2 linked regions of the Drosophila melanogaster genome follow. Changing the gene in region 1 together with any one later gene gives a genetic interaction. Each region holds a gene or a part of one and is shown on either strand. Other genes may lie near its edges.

Region 1 (8,588 bases):
AACGAGTTTTGGAACTCTGGTTCCTCTGCTTCTTCTTTCCCTCGGCGAATATTTTCTTCGTCATTCAAGAGCCAACAACAACAACACAAAAACATTAAAAAATAAACAAAAAGCGTTGAACAAAATTTCCAACTTTTATTGTTAATTTCTTTGAGCGCAGCTTTTTTAAGCTGCTGCGCGGGCGTCGACGCCGACAGCGCTACACTGCAAGAAAATATTAGTAATAGATCGGTCAAAACACTTTTCCAAATCTTACGTTTGCTCTCAAGGCATTGTAATGTGCCAATTGAGTTAGAAATCAGTTAGAAATTATATGCATATTAGCAAAAATGTAGTTTCATAAATGAATTTAAATTCTACATTCCAGTAAAAATATGCTTACTGACTTTAGTTAATCATAACACATATGTATTTCTCACCGTGTAACAGCATTATTGTTGTTCTTGTTTTTCGTGTAATTATGATCTTGTGCTGACTTTTTTATATGTACATGCATGTGTACATATATTTGCTCAAATCAAGTAATCAGTTATATTTAAGCATCAAAATCAAGTTTTGGCAATTGCTAATGCAAGGCGGTGGTAAAAAACGACCAAAGATTTATACGAATGTGTGCCGTGAACATTGACGATTTTATTAGAAAGTAGCAATTGGCAAAACAAACAGATATGCAAAATGGCAAAATGCAAAAAAAAAGAGTGGATCCATAAATTGAAAGTTTAATCTTTTCTTGACACCTTTCTACTTCCCCAGTCGGGAATTTTAATTGCCTCGCAAAAAATAATGACAGGTGTCTGGTGAATTATCTTCTTCAGCGCTAATAGCATTTATTTTATTTGTAGTAAAATTACCTAAATTAGCTTTTTATGTACATTTACAAATTTTAAGTTCTGCATCTGCATGGTGAGATCATTTCAGTTGCCGTGTAAGCTTCTTAAAAAAAACTGTGTATATATGAATGTATATATTCTTTCATATATGTATATGTATATAAATTTATAATCACATAAATATTTATGTACTTATGTAAATATTACATAAATGTATGTACATAAGTATGTTCCTCACTGCTTTGTAATCTCTAAAAATTGTAGAACCTACATTGTAAATTATGTATGACCTTGACATTTCATAATTTTTTAGAAACATTTCCACTTGGTTTATAAGAATTCGTTAAAAATTATGTTATGTATGTACATACACACATTTCTATGTACATATGTACATAGTACATCATGTGGCTTAAATCTCGTATTATGCCATGCTCTCATTATGCTTATTATAACTCTTATACATACAAAAAGTATTATAAAAGTGTTTCCCACAAATTCCACGTTTTATTTGACGATCTAAATACATAGCTTTTTACATAGAACTCCATGTGCCATATTTCCTTATGTGCTAAGCAAAAAAAAAACACATTTTCTTTGCCTTTTCATTTAGCGCGACTTCCTTTTGCCACAACCCCTTCTTCTTCTTTCTTTTCTTCCCCTCAATTCCCGCGCAAAACGCTTTTTTCCAACGAGACAGTTGCAAAAAGCAATCAACTGTATCGTGGAGTGTCCCCATCTCGCTCGCACTCACTTGTTCTAGCGCACGAACGATCTTCGGTTTTTCGAATGCAGCAGAAAGAACAACAAAAGCAAAAACTTCGTGCTCACACACACACGCAAAGCCTATTTCTTTTTTCGACTTTTATTCGAACTTTTTTGCAGCGATTTTTCAGTAACAAACGGCAACTCTCAGGAATAAAATCGTCGTCGCTCCGCTCGTTAAATTCTCGTTGCTTTTCCACCCACATAAAAAATCAGGATAAATTGTTAGTAGTCTAAAAAACAGTGCGGATTGCATAAATTCAAGCGGAGCACCGATTGGAAAAACACCCACGGAAAAAACTATGTGATGTTAAATACGTTTTTGTGTCGAGTGCATAATTTGTTGTAATTAAAGTTCAACTGCAAATGCAAAAAGACGAAATATATAATAATTTATAGGTGTTTGTGAGTGTTTGCGCCCCCTCTCCTGTGCAACGTGTGGGAAAGAGAGAGAGGGAGTGAGAAAGAGGGAACGTGACCGAGTTGCCATGAAAACTCCAATGGAAATTCAGGTGAGCGATTGTCAATCGACGTGATGTTATGCGGGGACCATCATCTCTATACGTTCACCTTTCATATGCACACTGTAGCCGTCGAAAAGATCTGTAGAATTTATGATTTTGCCACAGAAACGACACTCCTCGCATCAATTAGTATTGGTTAGAACATTTGGCATGCGTGTAGAATTTCGCACAGAAATGTTAATTTTCCAGCTGAAAACCCGATGAAACCGTTAAAAATTAAGGTACATATTTAGGTACACATAATTTGTACACCGAAATTAGAGAGAAAACGCGCGGCGATGAAGTCATGCTGGAAGCCAAAAATAAATCAACGCCGATCATAAAAACGTTTGGAGAGTGCACAAAATATAATTTGCGCTTTTTAGTGGGAAATGCATTGCACACACAAGCCGAGACCATCTTTCATCTCCCTCGCACACCCTTAAACAACTGCAACGAGAGATGGAGAGAGGTGTCGGAGTGGGGGAGAGAGAGAGCTTGCTCGGCAACGGTAATTTTACCATTTCGAACATTATGGCTTCGCTTTGCTGCGAAAAAAACAAGCAAAGCTAAAGCAACAACAAAATCTCGCCCCATGGTGGAAAACAAAAACAATACCAATGCGAATGATATTTTCGAACTCCGCCAAATATGTGCAAGCAGAGTTGTCAGCCTCGTTCGTTGTCACTTACAGTATATGAGGTTCTATTGAACAACTTTATTAATTAGTACGTACGACTCACATCTCACTGTCTATGCCAAATACTATTTACCACGTAGAGACCCTAAACAATTTTTGTGATATTCATATTCAATACTTTCTCCAATTATATTTAACATTGTCTTGAGATTAGCAAAAACGTTATCGTGTTTTTATAGACAGGCTTTTCAAGTAGTGTAGTTAGTAAATTTGACGTCCGTTGGAAACGTATTTCCTTCTTCCTTGATGTGGAACTTAAATTAGGTGGCAACCAGATAATGAAAAGCGTGTCCTCCTTCTGCATCATCCTAATTTGTCGATCTTTTGTCGTGAATTGGCAACTCTGTGCGCCAAGCATACAAAAAGCACACGTCTGAAGAGGGGTGGCAAACAGGCGACGTCAACTTATTTTTCGAACTCACACTCTCATTCGCACTCACACTCTTCGGGTTTCGCTTCGGCTTCGTTTCCAACTCTCTCGGCGCTCTTCGGGGTCTCTGCTTATGGGAACCTTTCGTTTTTTCGAGCACCAGCGGAAAGTCGCGTCAGTCGTCAGTTTTTCTTCAGTGGCTTCGCGCGTCCGCAATTTTCAGTGTGTGGTGCGTTGTTGCTGCTGCCTACTCTTTTCTTTCTGCTCTCCACGGCAGCGGGAAAGGAAAATACATACACATGCATACAGGGCCCCATCACATACAGTAAAAATAAATTCAACTTTATTGCTTTTCCCCCCGTCGCGTTATCGTGTGTGTGTGTATTAGTATTATATATATTTTACTATATATATACATATATGGATTGGAAAAGCAACACCAAAATTTGATATGTGCAAAGTTTATTGACGACTACGTGCTGCCTGTGATTCTATTTCGGTGTGTATATAAAATTGATCAATAATGTTTTAAAGTACCGCTTAATAATATACAATAAGAACTTGCATTTGAACTGTACCTGGCAATTATCTGCCTGAGATTGTGTGTGTTTTTGCATATCGAATCGATACTTCCAGTGGTGTTTCTATCGATTTTTCCCTATGCTCACTTCACGGGAGAAAGCTTTTCACCAATGTACGAAAAGAGACAGGCACAGACAGAGCAGGAGAGGGAGAGCTTTCCCACAAAATGCAACGCTGAAGTAAATGACGGGCGGTTTTCATTAATTTTCACACACGCACACACTGCCAGTGGCTCACTTTCCATGCAAATGAGGTCAAGTGTTGCAGTGGGAAATGTTTTCTACAAGTACACGTGTATGTGTGCGCGAGTAGGAAAGTTATATAAGCTTTTCATTACCGATTGCGACGAGGGAAAGCTTGATAAAAAAAACTATGATTAGTAAACACGAAGATTGCCAAGAGCGAGTTCAATTAATTGCTTTCTATTATAAACTCCTACAAAAAAGCACGTTTTTCATTTCGATAGATTCCCAAAGTCTTGGTGGCCGCCATCTTGGTTTTTCCCCCACACATAAAATATTTTGTTCAATGCTAGGCTCTCTCGCTCTTTTGGCTCCCCTTTTCTTTCTCTCCCGCTCATTTTGTCATACTCCCTCGTCAGTTTTTATGTTTGTTCACGAAAAACAAAAACAACAAGCGTGAAATTTTCTCTCTGCACTTTTCACACACACTTAGAAAAGTGGGAGAACCAGACGGCTCAGCATGAGGCAAGGAGGATGATGAGGAAGGGAGAGAGAGAACAGTCGCCACATATTTTTGTTTCCACTTTGTGCTACACTTCTGCTACGCCGCTTTTGTTGTTTTCTTTTCGACACGTTTACACATTTCCATTTTTCATATTTTCGTGTCGCCTAATCTTTTTTATGGGACTGCGCGACGTTGCTAAATTTCACTTGTGACTTTTGCAAAAGTTTCATTTGTTTACATTCTACGCACATGTGCAGAATAATAACAATAATAAATGAGATATAAAAAAGCTTTTGCGCAACAAGTGTAGAAAAGCAAAAACTGTATTTTTCTCTTTGGTTTCTTGCCTTAATTCTTTGTTTACAATTTAAACTTGTACACTTCTTTCAAGTCATCAACTTTTTTTCCTTTTAAAACACCATGACCTTGCATCGAATTTCTGACCTACACACGCACGTGCAAAAAAAGTTTAATATGTGTCGCACTTTTCTATTATCCACTATTCTTAATGTTCTTGTCTTACAGTAAACAGCAAAAATATAGAAAAAATAAAACGAAGGCGGGGAAAAATAATGAGCGGCCGTTATCGCAACCTGCTCTTTGGCCGACTTTTATTTTTGTTAGTTTTGATTTACTTATTCGCTTTGTGGCCATTAGCAAAAAAGTTCATTGAACTTTTCTGCGTTTTATTTTACGGTTTATTGTTGATTATTTTCGGTGGCTCACTTTTTTCACTTTCACTTGAACTGGCCAGTGTATTTAACAAGTTTTTGTGTGGCTATATCCAAATTATAAAACTAATATGGCACTTTAAAGGAGGTGTTTCTAGTAGTTGGTTTCATTAGGAAAGTCTTAAATTGAATTTGATTTAATGTTGATAGTTAAGTGTCATAGGTCATAAATAAATTGAAGTATTAGCTTGTAACATAACTGTTCGATAACCATTGAGAAATGGATCTGCTTTTTATCGTTAACTTGCATAACTGGCAGTTGTAGATAATGCCCTTCAAAGAAATCTCAAGAAAAACCAACAAAGCCCTAGAGATCTAGAAAAGAAGAATAATCGACATCATCGGCGGGACAGATCTCCATCGGTGCCCATGATAGATATGGATAGCCCCACGAAAACCTAAAGCATCGACTTCCTCCGCTCCCACGCAAATGTACAATACAATACTCTGAGATACATTTACAGATACAGATACATTCGCGCATAACAAGCCCTTAACATTCACTTTAAATAGCTTTTCGAGAAAACAAGTTTTTGTGGTTGACGTTTTTTTTTTTTTTTTTTTTTTTTTTTGTTGTTGTTATACATTTTTCGCTGCTTTAATGGCAAAACGACATTTTCTGCGGCCGAACAGAAGCGAGCGAAGCGGAAAAGTAAAAAAAAGAAAGAAGCGTGGAAATGGAAAATGATATGTTTCAACTCTCAGATGCAAATTATCGTTATTCGTAAATATTATGTATAAAGGTTGCAAGAACTTTGATCACACGATCTTTTAGTAATACACTATTTCTGATAGATATGCTATATGATGAACAATGCGTTTAGGAACCAACATGTGACTTACATGGAAAACAACTGCGATCCAGCTGGCAAAAAACGTAGCTTCTTTCTATGAAATTATAATAACTAATCGTATTTTGCGTGGTTTACTACCTACCAGCTCGACTCAGAATGGCTGGCACACTTGACTTGGCTTTTCTCAATCTTTGCTTGCAAGCCTGTTTGCTGCTAAATGTGCAATGTGAAGAACAAGAAAGGCGACGGGCTAAAAGGGTGTAAAAATAAATAAAATGAGCGACAGACGACGGACGCCTACATACGTGGGTTTTCAGAGGTGTTTTTTCCCCCAGTTTTGCGTTTTTTGGGCTTCGAGCCGCCAGAGTTTCAATGGTGTGTGTGTGTGTGTTTCTGCGTTGCTATTCAGCAACATTTTCAGCTGCCAGAAATTAAATTATTGAAAGTCAGTGCGAGAAGTCGAGTCGTCGTCGAGTTTATTTTTACGTCGTAAATATACAAATTTTATGTCTCACAAACGCAGCACACACATGTCTATGTGGCGTGTGTGTATGCGTTCGAGCAGAAAAAAGATTCCACTTTATGCAAATCTTGTGGGGGAAGTTTTATATTTGTTCTTGGCCTCCACTCACTCTTTTTTTCCTCGCTCTCTCCCGCTTCCTCCTCCCCCCTCTTTCTTATTCTTAAGTTATTTCCATTTTAAATTTGTTTTTCTGGCGGCTGCCCAGTGTGTGTATGTGTGTGTGCGCGTGTGTGTGTGTTGGCGATTTTTCTGGCAGCGATGTGAAATGAAATGAAATGAGTTTCTTAAACTGGTTTTTCTGCCAAGTGATCGGATCGGATCTCGGATCTCTAAACCAACAAACAAAACTCGACTTGCCAGCCGAGAACGGGGCGACCACCCGCTCCTCCGTTTCGTTTTTTCGAAATGGCACAGTTCTTGTACATTCTGTCGAACCGGTTTTTCTTTTGACTTTTGCACACACAAACACCCATACACAGACACACAACTTACACACATACTACCCAGAACAGAAGTCTTGAAACCAGCCCCATTATGGTTTCCAAGTTCAGAGCGCTCTCTCCATCTCTCTGGCGCTGGCCAAGAATTTTCATTACTCTAAAACAGTGGAGGGCTCGGGCTCCAGACTTTGGCGGCACTTCCTGTGTGCCCAAACGCAAGGGACGACAGTTGTGATCCAACATCTGCCGGCCGGCAGGACGCGGCAAAATGGAGGGAGGAAGGGAGACTATGACTGCATATACACAAGCGAACATAATCAGGAGAGGGGGGATCGGCTTAGTTTAGGGGTTGATTGCAACCCCAAAAAAGGCCGGGACCGGCCTACAGGACCCTCTCCCTCATCCTTCTCCTAACTTAGCGTAAACCGGTCTGCTTCGGTTCTCCCCGTGGCTCACCTTTTGCCGTCTGGCGCGTGCTTAGAAAAAGGGGACCGCTATCGCCCGACATCCTTTATATTATTATTATCCCGCTCCCCATCCCACCCGACATCGCCGCATCCCATTTTCATTTCCATCTGGCACTCGAAAAGTCTGTTGGCATGGAGGCAAGAATTAATGAAGCCTAGCTGGGCCAAGCCAAATGGCTGAATTCTAAAACAAGTTTACGACAAAAGGATGGAAATGCTAATCTCTGGTACCCATTCCAATCTTAATTCATTGTAAACCGATCTGCGCTTACATAGAAACTTACGCTACATGCTGCAGAAAAAAAACCCATTAATCTGACATCTGACATTGATCGCCGATAATTAAAGCAGCAACCCAATCAAATTGCGAAAAATATAACATTAGTTTTTCGTACTACAGCGGTTGCAATATTAAAACAAGTTGAGTTTTTCGCTAACAACGTTTCGTAAAATGAAAATTTTGAACGTAGTTTGATAGTAGATCTCAACACAAGGAAATATGAAGCAACTAGCTTATAAAAAGTGTGAAACGAACTATTCGTTCTATTTGCGATCCAGCAGTTGCTAAAACAAATATTAGATGAGTTTTTCGCTAACAACGTTTCGTAATGTAACAAATTTTGAACGTAGTTTGATAGTAGATCTCATCACAAGATAAATTCTTTTTTAAATTCTTTTTTAAATGATTTAAAATGTTATTTGTTAGAAGCAGCAGCTCGCCCATAAAACGTGTGGAAAATGCATTAAATATTCTCCAAACAATCCTGGCGGTTGCTAAACCAAAGTCCTGTTGAGTTTTTCGCTAACAACGTTTCGTAAAGTGCAAATTTTGAACGTAGTTTGATAGTAGATCTCAGCACAGAATTTCTCGTATATTGAAAGTTTTTAGAGCATTGAAAATTATAATTATTATAATATGTTTTAAACAAGAATCGTGATCTCAAGCTCTTGTTCAACATATTAGCGATATGCAACAGCAGTTACACAGTGTCTTGGACTTATTTTTGCCAGACATTTTCGAATGCAGTTGCCAGATGAAAACCCAGTTGAGATTTTCGCTAACAATGCTCCGTAAAACACAGTTTTGGACATCGTTTGATAGTAGACCTCAACACAGTCTCTCAGTCTCTTGTCTTGGTCTCCAATCACCAAGTGCTCATTACTCCACCCCCATTTATAGTACATCATTTGTGGGT
Region 2 (8,660 bases), on another chromosome or scaffold:
AAGCAAATAGCACGCCTTGGCTTTCTTAATCTTCTAATATCTTTCTACAATTTGAACTAAAGTACTTATTTATTATCCCTTTTCCACCATTTTCTCGGTGCCCGGCAGTTCCTGGGTGAAATTTATGTAATTTATATGGGCACTTGACTGTCTAAATTGCCTGCAGAGCTGAGCCCCACCCGGCAGAAAACCGCCTCAATAGCAGGACAATCTCCAGTCTGCCATCCATTTACCCCCCCCCAACCCCACTTCACGTTTTTTCCAGCCCTCCGCCTTCCACACCCACTGCCCCTTTTGGAGCACGCTTTGCTGCCACTTTTTATATCATCTACTTAGCCCTAATGGCAAATAATTAATTTCCAGCTTCCGCGAAGCCAGTTCTAGCCTGCCACGCCCCCTGGCCAACGCCCACGTAGTAAATGGCCGCATGTAACTGCAGTTTCGCCCCCCCCCCAAAAAAACCCCCTCGCTGGCCCCTGAAACGACCGTTTTCAATTTACAAATTGCTTATTTTCCGAAAACCAAATTGCGAGTGCCTCGGACTTTTGCCAGGAGTGAAAACCCGTAACTGTAACCGGATCCGGATACGGATCCTGATCCGGGACCAGGACGAGGCCAGAAGCAGCAGTTAATGCATTTTACGTGCGGCCAGTTGGGTGGCGAGAAATAAGGGGGGTGTTGGGAAGTGCTGGGTGGGGAAAATGCGCTGCGGCGAAGGCATCTCAATTACGTTTATAAATTTTCCAAGCCAAAATGGCGCAGCCTCCGAAAATGAATAGCCGCCCGAAAGGGACAGCGCGAAATGGGGAAGCGAGACGGCAGGTGGCAAAGGTTTTGGGGCAATTAATAACCATTTCAGACCTCATCGAGATGCTGAAGCATATGAACCAGAAATATGAAAGGTAACTTAAAGTTGAGAAAAGATCTTATTAAAACCCCTTTTTAATATTGCCTACGCCATTGATCTCATAAGCATCAGTCTACCCAGGAAACTCATGAAATATCAACGGAAGTCCCCTTTCCGCTTGTCGAAATTTTATTAACTTCTTTTGGACCAAATTGCATTGCGGTTTATTTGGAGGCCACTTCCCATTGGCAAAAACCAACCCTTACCACTTTTTTATCGGCATTCCGATGCCTTCATCACCTGACTCCTGAAAACGATGCCCGTTTATTTATGATGCGACATTTCAACTCGCATTCGTAGGCTTGAAAAGAGCCTCGAAAATTTATGGGCGCCATCAAAAATTGTTTCAGGCACAAAGGAAAATAGTGCACTTCAAGTTATATAATATTAAAAATATTTAAAACAACTCCAAAAATATTAAAATGTTTTCGAGCTTTAAAATAACTTGCATGTTAAGTTTAAAGGTAAATATTAAATTATAAATTCGCTTAAGTATTAAACACAAATCTGTCAGTGTATATTTATTATTGGGTGAGTATGGGGCTGGAGCCACGCCCAGCGCCTAAGCAAATGGCCAAGACTCCATCGTTGGCCTTTCGGTTTTATGGCCTACGCATCATTTGGCTAAAAGAGGCAAAACGGCTTCCACGGAATCCATTTGGAGGCATGTCTTCGACTACAATTTGGGAATACAACAATTTGGAAGAAAAGGCGGAGTGGCATGGTAATCGTTCTATGAAATGCCTAAATAAAATAAATGGCTAAACAGAATTAGAGTGAAAGGAGCTGCGGCCCAAAAGTATGCGGAATGGCGTTTATTCAATGTTATTTATTGGGAAATGCGGTATCGCATTTAGGATATTTTATTTATCATACGGCTGTACATAAGTGGTGAATTTCTTATTTACGACGAACATTATTTGGCTCTTTTTTTATTGCAAGAAATAAGTGTTTTTTCGAAGAAAGGGTAACAATTTTGTTAAACAATTTAGCTTTTAGTATATTATATATTATAAGATCACATCTTTCCACTCTAAAAGCCAACGAAATTAATTAAAAGCGCAATTAATTTGTTTGACAGCTGAAGAAAACAGACGCCAAGCTTTTGGCTTATTTACAATAAGGGGGTAGAATGGGGGGCCAAAATGGCTGAAAGGGGTGAGGGGGCGGCAGGGGAGGCTGGCTTTTTTCTCCTTTCGTTTGTCTGATTCTGTCGGAATAATAAAAGTAATTTAATTTTAATGAAATTGTTAATACGAAAACAATTTCATTTTGCAAAAAGTTTTGCCTGGGCCAAAAGATGGGCAGAGACGGGGGTGGTGGGGTGTGGAGAGAGAGTGAAATTGCTCGTGACAATGAGTGAACGGGAAAACAACAAACAAACAAACAGGAGTGCGAGAGAAAAGAGAAGGCCAAACGAGCAAACACTACGGTACAGAAAATACAAAAATGCCGTCGCAAAGCCAAACAAAAAAGGCACTGCACAAGCGAAAGAGACAGAAGGAGGGAAAGAGAAAGATAGGGAATGCGAGAAATGAAATGCTGATGCGAAGATTTAATAAATGAAATTGGTGTGTGATTAAAAACACAAAAACCAAACGAAATCCATCTAATCAACTTTTGCTGCCGCCTCACTTTTCCTCTACTTTCTCCTCCTCCTTTTCCACCGACCCGTTTCTCCTTTTGTCCTTTCTCCCAGCTGCTATCTCTTTCCTTCCTTCCCGGCGACGTCGACTGCGAGAGCGGCAGAGGGGTGAAAAGAGGGTTGCGAAGTTGGGGAGGGGTGGCACAATACTGGGGGTGGGTGGTCTTAAGTTTGCAACGCCTTCTTGAGGGAAATTCCCGACCAAAGATCCTTGGATTTTTCTAACCTTACGAAATTGTACATAAATAACGGTTAAAATTAATAAATAATTTTTACAATATGTTACTTATTCCACTTAAACATTTATGTTTAATTAAAAAATTTTGAATTTTCAACATGTTTCAAAAAATGTCTTTTTATGTACCATAAAAGATCGGAAAATTCATTCTACCTGTTATATACTTCTTAACAAATCTAGTATACCCTCTTACGAAACGAGTTAAATAGTAAAATTTCCCAGTTTCTTATTCCCCTTTTGGGATTTTCTCTCTTCTCAGGCTCCACCCCTACATATGAGCAGAAAATGGCTCTGAAATGCCTATACATACACATATTTACATACATGACGGCCAGTTGCTATGACATTCTACATCTTACATGCATAATAAATCTGAAATGTAACGTACAACGTAAGTTAGAAATCACTAAAATGAAAAATGGCGCTGTATTAGTTCCAAAAACAAACACCATTTGTCGTAAACGGATAGGCGTTGTGTGCTGTTAGTTCCAAAAGTATACGAGAAAAGTTGAATAAATCATGGCGCAGAGTTAATCCTGCATTGGCAATTTATAATACTAGATTAATTTAAGACCGATCTTGACCAACTTCAATGATGATTTCATTCGGAATGATTATTAAAATCAAACTGATACATCATCTCTGAGAGAACTAGCAGGGAAAATATTATAAATTCTACTACTCTACTAAATCTACTCCTTTCACATAGTATATTTACGTTAACAAACAAAGTACACTTTTATTAATATGAATATTTTGTTATTTGATTAAAGTAATTAATTTGTAGAAAGGATTGAGCATAATATTGTTTTAAATTTTTTTTTTCTATCTCAACGCTAATTCATAACATTGCATCAGAAGAGAAAATAATTTTTTAAAAATTAAGAGAAAAAATGCTAATGTGCTCTTTATTTCATAATATTCGAGTAGTGGTAGCGAGTAAGTTGTTTGTTTCATTTTCAGTCTGTTGGAATTTCTCGTGCTGTGCGGTTGTCATTTGTCGCGATCGTGCTTGGAATTGACTTTAGCGGCATTTTTATAAGAATCAATGCAACGCGTGGTTTTCCTGCAAATTTTGGCACAAGTTCTTAATAAAAGAAAAAAAATATATATATATATGGCATTGGCGTTTATCAGAATAATCCACATCGCCATTTAGTTCGGTGGTTTTTCATCGACTTGTGCTTGTGTGTGCGTGCCACTTGGTTAGTTGTTGCTGCTTTCGCTAGTCGTACGATCTAGCATTTGTGCTCAATTCTGAATTCTAAAATAAAACAACAACTAGCGTTTTCCATATGTGCAACTATTTGCCTTAAAAAGCAATTAAAGCAAAGGCAGTGGTTAAAGTTGACTAAATATTAGTAAAACGTGAATTGTGAATGCAGTTTTGGTGCATTAAGCGAAGAGAGTGGAAGAGAGAGCGGCTCTCTTTTAGTTTGTGATTTCAAAGTGGAAAATTATTAATTCAAATGCAGTCTGCAATTAATTTCATGGAAAATCACTTGTTAGCTGCTCGTTCGCTCTGTCTCTTTCGCACTTCAGCTGACGAATTTTCCGTGCTAAACTTGACACTTTTCAGTCCATCATTCCAACTAATTCTTTGACTGCAGTTTTGCGTCGCATTTCCTTTCTACGCCGATCTGCCTCTTTGCCTTTCTTTTCTCTGATATATTTCAACAGAAGCTCAGTTGTTGTTGTAACTACTCCTCCTCCTTTTTGTTACTTGCTGCTTGTTTTTGTTGCTCGTCATGTACAATTTTTTCCAATTTGTGCGCCTTTTCATATTTTATTCTGCCGCGCTGTTTTTCTGTTTTCTGTTTCTGTCTCGCCGCCGCTACTATTTTTAGCAACAAGTATGGCTGATGTTGTTGTTGCTGCCGCTCAAGTTAACTACGCTACGCTGGCAGAAACAACAACAAGTCAAACTATGCGGAGCGAGAGAGAGTGAACTGAAAACAAAAAGAGTGAGCGATAAAATCCGCGAGAAAGAGTACAGTGGGGCTCGACTTAAATTATCATATTAAGCCAGATCACAAGTATTAACAAATCGAATGTTCTTAAATCCAATAAGCGTTAATCAGCAATGTTGATCAAAAGTTTTAAAATTATTTAATCGATATCAGTGAACTATTGAATACTATTGGTAAAAGCTCAGTCTTGTTTGCATCTTCAAGTGGGGGTCCCACTGTATTCGACTCAGGTGATAACAATAACAGCGACGAGTGAGAGAACTCTCTCTCACTCTCTCTCCTTCATTTCATTTCCCAATCTTTCGTGTTCGTGTTCTGTGGCTAATAGCATTTAAATTTTAATGCCCAATTTCATAGAAACGCAACGCAAGTGGAAAGACTCGAGAAAACAAAAGTGCAGGCCGTCTAAATTGATGGCGAAGTTTCGTGTGCCGCCTGCATTTCATTTATAAATATATTTTCGGCCTTAATTCTGTGCTTCCTGTGAATTAACGAGGAAACTGAAGAGTGCGCGAGCGAGACAGCCGATCACAAATCAACAAGTGGAAACGAAGAAACTTTCTTCGCAAAAGCCGGCTGATCGCAACAACAAGAAGAAAAGAGAGCGATTCTCTGCGACTGGAACCATAACATTTACATCGACCCTGGAATTTCTTCACTTTTCGTCCAACATGTAAGCTCCATTTTAATATGCAATTACTGTTCGCTGTTGTCGAACAGCAACTTATTTATTCATACTTATTGTTTATTTATGGATTTATGCCGCCTACGAACTTTGTGATTGCACAATCGTTCGGCCTTTGAATAATTTTTTTTTTCGCCAAGGCGCCCTTTTGTCTATATACCCATCTCTTTCGACTGCTCCAGTGCTGTCTTTTTCTGGTCCGTGCTTTGAATAAACAATTAAGGCTCAGGGTCTTTAAGCCCTTTTCTCCGCCTTAGAGCCGAAAGTGATTGTTGTAATTTATAATTTATATTTCCTTTCTTAATAAATAAATAAATAGTCAAGTTTATGTTTGAGTTTTATGATTTATATTTTAAGTTATTTCAACTGCAACACCAGCACCACGACCTACTCACAGCAAAAAACGTACAAGAAGGAAAGAAGGAATAAAAAGAGTGGTATTCTCTTACAATATGTTTTATGGCATAAAAGGTGTGGCCATTCATATCAAATATAAAGTAGTGTTGTTTAACGTTATTTTTGTAGGTTGAATAGTATATTCCAACACGCCCCCTCAAAAATAACGTCTATAATTAAAAACATAACAATAATATTCATTAGTAACTATCAAATGTGGGTGGTGTGCATTCTGGGAAGTGTTAACTGATCCAGCATTTGCTGCGAGGATACGGGGAAAACCCAGAAAAACCCGATCAGATCATTGTAACAAAATATGTTTACAGGAATTTAAATTTGAAAAATATATATAAAAATTTCATTCAGCATTCGATTGGTCGTCTTGCAGCAAACCCAATTTGTCTCGTAACTCCACAAATCTCGCAGCAGGCAACGGTTTTGTAAATATGTCAGCCAGTTGATTCTCTGTAGGAATATACTCAAGACAAATCACATTATTCTGAACTTGCTCTCTGGCAAAATGATATTTAATATCAATATGTTTAGCTCGTTTATGACATGAGGGATTGTTTGCTATGCTAATACAGCCTTGATTGTCTTCGTAAATTTTAATGGGGTTTTCTAGTTTAATGTTAATACTAGTTAATAAAAATTTAAGCCATAGAGCTTCTCTCACGGCTTCAAATAGGGCCATATACTCAGCTTCAGTTGATGAGGCTGCTACTGAGTTCTGTCTCTTTGTATTCCAACAAATGAGATTAAAATCAAACATTTTGAATAAATACCCTGTTGTACTTTTTCTATCAATTTCACTACCAGCCCAATCAGAATCCACATAACCAATAATTTTATTTTCAAATGCCAAGTTCTTTTTAAAAATCAATTTCATATCGATAGTGCCCTTCAAATATCTAAGAACTCTTTTTAAGTTCTGCCATAATTCGGAGTTATTTTTGCTACTATATCTGCTCAAGATATTTACTGCAGTAGTTAAATCTGGGCGTGTACAAAGCATTATGTACATTAAACATCCTATGAGGCTACGGCATGGGGTATTGCAGTCTTCATCTGAATTAAGTAATTCATAATTTATTTTACTAGGTAAAGGAGTACTAACTGCATTACAATTTTCCATGTTAAATTTACTTAAAATTTTTTTAACATATGCAGATTGGCTTAAATAGATTTTATCTTCCTGCATCTCTATCCTAATTCCAATAAAATGTTTTATTTCATTTAGGTCAGTCATCCTAAACTTTTCCATTAAATACCTTTTGAAGTTATTCATTCTTGTCATATCTCCTGTAGCTATAACCACATCATCTACATATAATAATACATATATGTTTTCATTGATGTTACCTTTGTCTAAAATATATATACAGCGATCAACTGAAGAGTTTACAAACTCACACTCTTTCAATGCTTGCTCAAATACTTCAAACCAGCATCTAGCCGCTTGCTTGAGTCCGTAAATTGCCTTATTCAATTTACACACATTGTCACTATTACACGATATACCTTGAGGAAGTCTCATATAAATTTCCTCTTTTAACGTGCCATTTAAGAAAGCTGTTTTTACATCCATTTGATGGACTTTCAAGTTATACTGTATTACTAATGACAATATAAATCGGAAACTTGAAATTCTAGCTACAGGAGCAAATGTCTCTTCATAGTCTATTTGGTATTTTTGAGTGAATCCTCGTGCAACCAATCTAGCTTTGTATCTAATTGGATTTCCAAGTTCATTATATTTAACAGAAAATACCCATCTGCTATCTACAATATTTTTGTTTTCAGGCCTTTTTGTAATTGTCCAAGTATTATTAATTTTATGAGCATTTAACTCTGTATTGATGGCTTCTTCCCAAGAAGATTTATCATCCCTATATTGAATTTCATCAAATGAATTTGGGACATCGTTAAATATAGTGTGAGCATTTAGAACAACTTTATTTAGACTATTATCCTCTTCATTATAGGATATCTGAGGCTTAGTCTTTAATCTCTCACTTCTTCTATTAATAATTTCTATGCCATCATTTTTAGTTGGATTATCAATTCCAATTTCTTTTAAGTGCTCTGCTGTTTCACTTTCCCTACTCTCATTCGGGTTGCCTGATCCCTTACTTTCATTCAGGTGATCATCTCGCTTTCTTTTCTTACTCTCATTCAGAAAATATTTATTACTTTCCTTACTATCTTTCAGGAATTGTATGTTGTCGCATTCCTTACTCTCATTCGGGAATTCTGTTTGTATTATTTTCCTACTGTCATTCGGAAAATTTTTATTTTCACTTTCCTTACTATCTTTCAGGAATTGTATGTTGTCGCATTCCTTACTCTCATTCGGGAACTCTGTTTGTATTATTTTCCTACTGTCATTCGGAAAATTTTTATTTTCACTTTCCTTACTATCTTTCAGGAACACTGTTTCAAATTTAACAGCTCTAGAATTAACCATATTGGTTTCATCGACAACAACATCTCTTGCGACAATAAATTTTTCATTTACAGCATCCCACAACTTAAAACCATTGGGTTCATAGCCCACAAAAATACTTTTAAATGATTTATCATCAAACTTTCCTTGTTTGTTTTTAATATGCACATAAACAGTTGCACCAAACACTCTCAAATGTTTTAAGTATGGCTTCTTATTGTGCCACATCTCATATGGGGTCTTTGAACTATCAACAAGTGCTCTACTAGGAATTCTGTTGATTAAATAAGTAGCAGTTAATACTGCTTCGCCCCAAAAGCTTTTATCTAGCTTTGCACCACTAACCATGGTTCGAGCTTTTTCCGTAATGGTT

The links.
Region 2: of lola (region 1) and for, changing one suppresses a phenotype caused by changing the other (phenotypic suppression), as found in Drosophila melanogaster (one study listed by BioGRID).

Annotation. Positions count from the first base shown.
Region 1 is NT_033778.4:10,536,424-10,545,011, reverse strand, and holds the start of lola (longitudinals lacking), read left to right. Parts: upstream 1-1,720; 5' UTR 1,721-2,107; intron 2,108-3,016; exon of another isoform or gene 3,017-3,171; intron 3,172-3,238; exon of another isoform or gene 3,239-3,667; intron 3,668-7,741; exon of another isoform or gene 7,742-7,877; intron 7,878-7,891; exon of another isoform or gene 7,892-8,062; intron 8,063-8,106; exon of another isoform or gene 8,107-8,267; intron 8,268-8,351; exon of another isoform or gene 8,352-8,517; intron 8,518-8,588. UniProt on the Drosophila melanogaster protein: Putative transcription factor required for axon growth and guidance in the central and peripheral nervous systems. Repels CNS axons away from the midline by promoting the expression of the midline repellent sli and its receptor robo.
Region 2 is NT_033779.5:3,652,043-3,660,702, reverse strand, and holds the start of for (foraging), read left to right. Parts: upstream 1-3,749; 5' UTR 3,750-3,981; exon of another isoform or gene 3,982-3,995; intron 3,996-5,117; 5' UTR 5,118-5,433; intron 5,434-8,660.